Oryzias latipes: one gene and its partner. The protein of the gene in region 1 purifies or fractionates together with the protein of each later gene. This does not show direct contact. Links are inferred from orthologs where the notes say so. Each region holds a gene or a part of one and is shown on either strand. Other genes may lie near its edges.

Region 1 (4,447 bases):
CATAAATTGCACAATGCCGTGCTTTTCCCCCCAAATACATGTCTGTGTATTACATTGTTGTGTTGTTTGCTGACAGACAAAAAAAATAAAAAAATACGAGTACTCTTTTAATTTGAAGGTTTCTTGAGTTTTTGGTACTTTTGTAAAAATGATAAATGTCAACAAATAAACACGCCCTGTTTATGGCGGACACTTTAAAGACGAAAAACATGAAAAAATTGTGAAATATATGGGGTACATTATTGAAAACAAGGTTGAGAACCACTGGCCTACACAACACAGGTTTCTATTTGGCTTGTGCAAATAAAGTCAGCATCTTGAATTAAACAAATATTGGAGGAAATAAAAAATTGTATACAAAACTAAAGCAATTTAACACAGGCTTTCTTTAGCTAACATGATGAAGATGTCAAACATACAATTCCAACCAGGTTTGAAGGCTGGATACACTCTTTCCAGTGAGATTCTGCAACCGAAATAGTTTTTTATTCGTAAAAACAAAGTTTAAATTGATAACATGTATCATAAATGTTATTTTTTCCTGTCAACCCTGTGGTTAGCTAACCCTCATTATTCTTGGTAACGTGACCTTGCACTGCTATCACAGCAGCAGCATCGTGTTCTTTTAAAAGTCATTTATTCAAAGATTTTATGATAATAAACAGAAAAGCACGTTGCTTTAATCCTACTAGCTCCCTCGAAACAGAAAAATTCATACAACTGAAAACAATTGAACTATTTTACCGGAGAAACACGCTCGAAGCCCTACAAGCGCAGCCATCTTGGACGGTGGCAGTGACCAAAGACTTCCGACATCAAGAGACTTGACGGACCTAACTTCCTCTTTACTCGATCAACCGTCGTCAGTAGATGTATAACCAAAATCAACTATTTACACAAATCAATTAAGATTAAATGTCTTCTTCTTATTATTATTTTTTTTATTGATATATGTACTGCACTGCCAGATGTCTATATTTGTAAGTCGATGATGAAAAAAATGTTTGTAACATTTGAGTCTACGTTTTATTTTTTTGATTTATTTTTATATATTTTTTATTTTAGAACAAAGGTATGAATAAAAAAGTCATACATTTTTTTTCCTGCGAGAATAAGGTTGCTTAGTTTTAATCCAAAAACATTTCTTCAAGTTCAGTGTATGAATGCACATAGTAGATTGCGAAGATACTAATTTCAATTTCACTGATGCTCTTTGGGTGTATAACCTCAATCGGAAGTCTCTATACCGTAATCATGTTAATACTTCAATATAATTTTGACATTAATTATGATGTAATTTAACGTAAGATTGAACTTACATTTTCAAATTAGTACAGTAAAAAACGTTAATCTTAGGACAAAAAATTTAATTTAAAAAAATTAGACAAAGACACCTGACAAAGATATTTTTCCCATGGACTCTTTTGGTGTTTTACGGTAAAAAAAAAAGAGTGCGCATGCGTCAACGGGTGCTGCCTAGAACCTTCCAGTGTGTTCACGTGTTTGTGTTTTTAAGGTTGGACTTGCGGCAACAACTCCTTCATTCAGAAAGATCACTGGACATTAGAGCTAAAGCAGAATAGGACGTAAGTAAGTTTTTTTTACAGCTAGTTTGTTGTTGATGTGCTTTTCATTTTTGTCTTACTTAGCGACCAGTGCTTTTGTCAGAACAGAACTAGCTTGTAAGCTAAATAATTAAAATAGGCTCCCAGAGATAGCCTGTTTTGTTGAAGACATGTATTACCATTTCGCAGGACATATTTGTTAATTGTTCTGTTTTGTCTGCACAGCTGTGAGGACAGAAGAAGACATGTCGGAAGGCGAACAGAACGGCAGGAGATATCCCCGGAATCTTCAGGGGGTTTTACAGATGGCAGTAGATGCTGGACCAGCAGCAGAGGCTCCAACTCCAGTTCAGCCAATGTCAGAGGAGGTAAACCTGCTTGTTTAGGGAATTTCAATTCACTACAGTCCTGAACCTAGTGTTCTTAAACACTGTTTCACCATGTTTATGTGAGGAGGATATTTCATACTAAATAATATGATCAATTGATTTAATTAGTCTCAGTTGAATGAAACATGTATTTATTTGTGAGTTCTTTTCTGAAATCGTTTGGTTTCAAAAGCAGTAAACCCAACCTTTTATATGTGACACTACTTCAACTTCTTTAGTGGAAAAAACAGTTATTTATCGGAATGAAGTAAAATGCTATTAAGAATTTTTAAATGGCATGCATGTTCTTAAATTTAAGAAAGAGTTAAATCAATTCTTTCTTTACCCGATACAATGTTTGATACTGTTCCCTTGTGATTCATTTTTTGTTAAGTATGACCTTAAACATTTTTGTTAAATCTGACCTATAACAACTTTCCCGTTTACTTTTGTAAACGGTTACATTTTAAGATTTAGTTTCATGCGCAGTCCTTGTTTTTATTTGTATTTTTTGCCATTGGGGACTTTGTTTTTGACCAACAACTGCCTTTGCTTTGGGTTCAGAGAAAAACGTGGCTGCGGGAAGCGCTTTCTGAAGTCTGTAAAGGCCAGCTGGATGAAGTAGAACAAATAAAGCAGTGCTTGTCCGTCCTGCGTAAAGAAAATGTGGGTGACAAGGATGAAAATGGAGAAGAAATGAGGGACGAAGATGATGAGGACGAGCGGGAGTCGGCCTTTGAGATGCTGTCAGAGTTGTGCGAGAACCTGGATAATGCTAGAGGTTTGTGATAATCGCTTTTGGAAATGATAGTGAGAGCAGATGTTGACATGATTCCAGATGGTATGGACTAAATTAATTCATCTCTTCTCTGTTTTTTACAGATCTGATGGTGCTTGGTGGACTAGAATTGTGTGTCTCTCGGTATTTGTGTCACGTCCAGAGCGGGCTGAGGTGGCGTGCTGCTGAGCTCATTGCCTCCTGTGCTCAGAACATGCCACAGCTTCAGGACCACCTGCTCAGTATTGGGACTCTTCCAAAGTTGCTTCAACTAACGGATTCTGACCCGAACCCCACCGTCAGGGTCAAAGCACTTTATGCGGTCTCATGTAAGTTCCTGTCTGGCACTCTGACCAAAGCTGCTCTAAGTGTGTCTTTCTAAATGAGTGATGTTGAGCTCCACACAGTTGTCCAACGGTGTAACGCTGTTTGACTGCAGGTTTGGTTCGAGAGCAGGAAGCCGGGCTTCAGGCCTTTTTGGCTCATGATGGATTCTCGGTGCTGATGAGAGGCATGCAGTCTGAAAACGAGAAGCTCCGGACCAAATCTGCTTTCCTCCTGCTAAACCTGTTGACCTCACACCCTGACCAGAAAGGTATGAATAAGGAAAAGCACCTAAACCATCCCCTTTACTCACCTGCTCATTACAGTTTAGAACAGGGGTCGGGAACCTTTTTGGCCAAGAGAGCCATAAATGCCACATATTTTGAAATGTAATTTCGAAAGAGCCATACAATAATGTAGTGTCCCTTCCCCACAGTGAGGCACGGAGACTTAACCTCTTTTAAAGTTCTTTATTCCGATTACTGCAGACCGCAACAAACGCCGTGCAATTAATTCAGCAACTCCTGAATCTCTCCCGCCGAGACGAGAGCGCGTCTCCCAACTTTATATTCCCCCCTCCCGCTGCAGCCCTCCCATTACCCTTATTCGGCCCATAGCTGAACCCCATTGGTCCAAACTACCTAACAACAGGCTGAGCGACAGAACTGAGAGCCAATCAGATCTCTGCTTGACGCGTTCAATGAACTCCAGAACTTTTAACGCGACCCAACAGCCATCCAACTCAGTCCGCGACAATTTGTTTAAAACTAAATATACAAATGAATGTGTGCATTTGATTTAATTTCAACATTTTTAAAGTACAATAAGTCTGTGGATTCTTTTTAATAACATTGTTATTCTGTTGCTAATAAATGGTGAGTATTTCTCGTGGTAGTTTTGCTGATGGTCTAGTCTGGTTGATACGTGGTGAGTTTCTGCTTCGTTCAGGCGTTGAGACTTTAAACGTGATCGTAGGTCTGAATGTTCTGTAGATGTGAGACAGACTGATCACATGCAGACGCGGAGCCAAACACACACTCACACGCTGCAGTGAGTGACGGGCAGTGGGTTTTACGTTATTACAATCCCTGCGCGATTCACCTGCTGCCTGTCCCCACAACACCTCACCCCCACCCTCTGCTTTCTCCCTCACACATCCCGTCCCCGCATCTGCGCGCTCTTTCTCAGAGACGGGAGCGTGCAGTTTTAGGTAGTCAATTCACAGGTTTCCAGCTGGTACAAACTCTGTGAAATAATAGATAATACTAACTGATAGCGCTGGTGCAGATTTCTCTCTCTAAGCACCGCTACTACTGCGCGCCTCTGGCATCGCATCGCGCCCGAGAAGGACTGGTCTAATGAAACAAAAAGTATAATTAAAGATTTGTCTGCGAGCCACATGTGACCATCAA
Region 2 (4,410 bases), on another chromosome or scaffold:
GGGACATTGCACATCAGGTTGTCCAGCCAGTAGTCAATACCTGTCAAAATGTTGATTGGTTTATTGCTGTCCCTGAAAAACAGACGCTAATGGTTAGTTAAAAGAAAAAAAAAGAAGTTATAAACAGATAAAATTAGAATAAGTATATAATCAATCTGCCTTAAAATTATAGACTTTTTTTAACTGGATGATGATTGAAACCTTAGCTTCAGACTGACAGCGGGGTATCGACCACCTCCAAATATGGGCATGTTGGATCCAACCAGCATGTGGATGTCCTCAAAGGTCCACATGATGTTTCGCACAAAGTCATTCCTTAAACCCTGCAAAGAATGCAAGTCGTCAAAACTTGTACAGAAAGAATTTAACAGTAATCAATATCACAATCTTTGTTTAATTTTTCAACAATCTTCCCCCCATTTTTCCATAAAACACAGTCTTGTACTTTTTTCCAATCAATTCATTTGATAAAAATACGCGAACAATACATCAAATCCAGTATGAAAAGTGTTTAAACATAAGTATATCAGATAGTGCTGATCTTTATAAAATTCAAAGCTTAAATAAACAAAAAACCTCACAAATGTGTTTTCACCTCATATCCTTTGCAACCCTCAGTGGTGCTTCTTATATCTCTTCACTCTTAGGTGACGCTGTGTTGTTCTATTATTATACTCTTCATAGTATTTTATATGCACCTAGTCATAATGATAAGGAATACTGCCACCTTGTGGCCGGAGTAGTCATTTAATATCCTGAGTCGATCAAAGCTAAATGAATGCAAATAACGGTTAAATATTTCTTAAACTTTCCTTTTTATTTCGAAATTATAAACACATTGAATAATCTTTGAAAATAAAAACAATATCCAGCTCTTGTTTGTGGTGAAATTCCAGACATTTGAATAGAACTTTGTTACCTGGCTGTTCTCGCCTTCATTGAAGAGAGCAGGGAGGTTTTGCTCTTTTAATACTGATGTCACCTGGCCCAGAGCAAATTTACTGTCCGCAGAAACACCTTCCTGAGTATCAAAAGGCATCAGTGTGTTCATTATATTTTTGGGCATTATGTAATTGAACTGAAAACAAACTAAAAAAAAAAAAAAAAAAAATTCTTGCCCGCCACAAAAATTCTCACTGTCTGAAAACAGCTTTTTGACCCGACCATACTTATTGAGCTCACTAGTAAAGCTACCTGTTCAGGAATTTCTGATTCTTGAGCATCTGATGGGCTGGTAAAGGTTGCAGGCCACGAGGAGCTGCACTCTTCAGCATTTTTGTCATCATCCCCCTCATTCATGTTGTCTAACACAGGCTCTGCAGCCCCATCACCATTTATGCTGCAGAAACAAAGAAAAACATGTGATTTTTGGACAGATTATGTAACAAGAAACACGCCCTTAAGTAGAACATTGCACCAAATTATATCTAACACTATCCTAAACAAAAACTTACCTGTAGTAGAGAAACTTTGACAGGATGGCTTTCTGATACCAGTGCTCTTTACTCTTTTTCTTCCGCTGCCATTTCTGATCATTTAGACGCTGGTAAAAATCTTTAAGCCATGTCCAGTCTCCTGTCTAAACATTGCATTAAAAAAAAACACATTACTGTCAAAAATAAAATATAAATGGAAGAATGTAGAAAAGGGATCCACCCTCAAATCTACCTGAGAGGATCTTCTAAAAAGCTCCTGAATGTCCAGCTCGTCTACAAGCAACGTCCTTCCAACCCGGTGAACAGCCATGCTAACGTGGGACTTGCTGTAAGGAATCTTCAAGAGTTTCTTGATGTTCTGAGGATGATAGAGCCCATCATTAAAGTCTGCCATGTCTTCAAATGTCAGAGAGGTAAAAAAAAGGAAAACTCTCCACAAACCTCAGAGTCTGATACCACATCAACACCATTCCCAATACAATCAATGAAGTCATAGGCAATTCCAAAACTAAAATGAAAACAAAGAAATGTGATACATCAATATGTGTTTAAATTGGTTAATTGTTATTAAAAAGAAAAAAAAAGAAATAGATTTTCAGGTTCAAACAAATACATAAAACGTTTTAAAATGTAATTTGGACCTCCCAATGTACTCTAAATCCAAAAATCTTAAGGTCATATGTCATCATTCAGGGACTGGATCTTTAAGAAATAGATGAGGAACCTGGAAAAGGGCTTGCTTTTGCTGCTTGACCCTAAAACAGCGCTGCCAAGCTGGGGGTTTTCCCTCAGCCAGTTGGCAGGTGGCAGCTTCAGGTCCGTCTTCTCCTCAGGGAGGGCATAAGTGCTGGGGGGGGCAGCAGAGTACTTGACCACAGCACTACTCTTCACTTCTCCATTTCCCAAATACATAGTGGGATCCTGGTGAAGCAGGAGACAAAAACATTCATGTTCTAATTAAACAGGAGAGGCAGACATTTGAAGTACAAATCTTAGTTTATTTTTCCTATGACTATGTAATAAGGTCTAATAACTGCATAAATAAGCCTAATAGAAACAAGGATTGCTTGTTAGTGTATAAACAAGACATAAAAACACAACATATTAATATAAACAATTATATAGCTCATTCTTTTATGTTGCTTACCCGTTTGCTGCAATCCTCTGAGCAGGCAGGACTTCCAATGTCTTTATCATTATCCAGGAGGATCCCAGGATTTCTGTCATCGCCAGCTGTTGAGCTCATTTTTTTTTCTACAACACTTTATTATTCCCGCTTAAATTAGCGAAATAATTCGTCGAACAGCTACATTATTATATGTAATTGGTGTTAAGATAATGACGTATCGTTCTTCCGACTCGATGATCTGCCTCCTGACCTGTCGCACGAATCTGTAGTAACAGAAAGTCAGGGTTCTTTCTAGATAGTTCCAGAGCTTGCGAGGCTAAAATAAACCGCACTACTAGCAAAGGTAGAAAAACGATTCAGCTCAAATCACATCAACTAAAACACATGGTTAGTTTTATATCCTCCACATTAATAATAATTTATACTTTCAAACTTCTCCCACTATTTTCGCTCAACAGAACCCCAACTTACACTGTTTTGCCTCTCTTCTGTATCCAACTCGCTTCTTAGCAGTCAACAAACAACGACTTCCGGTTGGAGGAATGCCAAATGCAACATTGATTGTATTTTTACGTTTTGAAGTGGAACATGTTTTGAATTTTTTTTAAGTAAGTTCACAAAAATATTTTAGAACGTAAAATGATGCATTTAAAAATAAATTCTGTTAAAAATCTAAAATACAAAAATCTTGAACCGGAAGTATTTGCAGTCTATGTTGGTCGATTATCTTTTAATGATTATACCCCATGTAATTGTTGCGTGGTCATCATTATTATTTTTATTATTATTATTATTATTATTATTATTATTATTATTATTTTGGCATTTACACTGTTATGATAAATTACAAACATTTTAAAATAAATTTTGTATTCGTATAAAACATTTAAAAAACTTACAAATGCCTAAATATATGATTTTGTAATGTATTTTGGAATACTTTATTCCAAAATTACGGAAGCTCTGAGCTGCCACTGCGAAAAATATTTTTTGGAACAGCTTCTCGTAATAACGAGAAAGTATCTCGTTATAACGACATACTTTCTCGTAATAACGACATAGTTGTTTACAGTAAAACGTCATCTTCTCGCGGGACATTTCATTCTCGTCTTGATGACCTGTGGGAAAAGATGGAGAATCAGCGGGAGCCTCTTTATTCCTTTTTAAGGGATAGAAATGTGTCAGAGGACAGAATTTCCACCATGAGGAATGACAAAGTAAGTTATACTTATGAAAAACATAGTTTACGTGAGTTTCATATCGATTTAATTTATTTTTTTGTTACTGAATGAGCCTGCCGTGTACTGCGTAGACGTGAGACCAACTAAGACCTCGTTAACTTAAGTATTGTAGTAGCTGCAAGGAAGCTCCTTAGGCGGGCGGTTGTCAAACAGCTCTTTATTAATGTTTCTGTATCTCAGAACGGTTACAGCACGAACCAACAGGCACAGCGAGCTTCTTCTAACTCCAGCGACAACGTTCACCGAACGCACACGCACACACACCCACAGGTAGACCCCGCCCCCTCTCTCCCACCAGTCATCAGCCCACCGCTGATTGACACACACTGTGGTCTAGCATCTTGCAGAAAGAGGGGGGCGCCGGCCACCTGCAGCTCTGTCCAAACTCTGGGTCGTCACAGTATGTAATGTTTTAGAGTTGCAGGGTATAACTCTCTTCAGTATGAACGTGCTGTGTTAACGTCTTTTATTAACATAACTGGTAGCAATCGCTTTTAACAGAAGGCTTCGTGCTTCGTTCATATCCCATAATGCATTATTCTTATTGTCAATACATCTTTACCGTAACGGAGATGCATTCGAGTGCAGTAGGATAAACGTGTAT

The links.
Region 2: the proteins of hspbp1 (region 1) and edrf1 purify together in Homo sapiens (affinity purification with mass spectrometry; 3 studies listed by BioGRID and IntAct, counting the BioPlex papers as one, with this or other methods). This does not show direct contact. The link is inferred for Oryzias latipes from reciprocal best matches to the Homo sapiens genes HSPBP1 and EDRF1.

The regions. Positions count from the first base shown.
Region 1 is NC_019866.2:14,512,430-14,516,876, reverse strand, and holds the start of hspbp1 (hsp70-binding protein 1), read left to right. Parts: upstream 1-1,462; 5' UTR 1,463-1,586; exon of another isoform or gene 1,587-1,590; intron 1,591-1,785; exon of another isoform or gene 1,786-1,790; 5' UTR 1,791-1,810; coding exon 1,811-1,933; intron 1,934-2,497; coding exon 2,498-2,714; intron 2,715-2,815; coding exon 2,816-3,040; intron 3,041-3,150; coding exon 3,151-3,306; intron 3,307-4,447. Other genes in the region: tufm (elongation factor Tu, mitochondrial), read right to left, coding at 745-781. UniProt on the Homo sapiens protein: Inhibits HSPA1A chaperone activity by changing the conformation of the ATP-binding domain of HSPA1A and interfering with ATP binding. Interferes with ubiquitination mediated by STUB1 and inhibits chaperone-assisted degradation of immature CFTR.
Region 2 is NC_019873.2:19,100,942-19,105,351, reverse strand, and holds the start of edrf1 (erythroid differentiation-related factor 1), read right to left. Parts: upstream 3,086-4,410; 5' UTR 2,683-3,085; coding exon 2,584-2,682; intron 2,358-2,583; coding exon 2,161-2,357; intron 1,945-2,160; coding exon 1,878-1,944; intron 1,795-1,877; coding exon 1,669-1,794; intron 1,580-1,668; coding exon 1,455-1,579; intron 1,340-1,454; coding exon 1,195-1,339; intron 1,022-1,194; coding exon 920-1,021; intron 324-919; coding exon 202-323; intron 73-201; coding exon 1-72. UniProt on the Homo sapiens protein: Transcription factor involved in erythroid differentiation. Involved in transcriptional activation of the globin gene.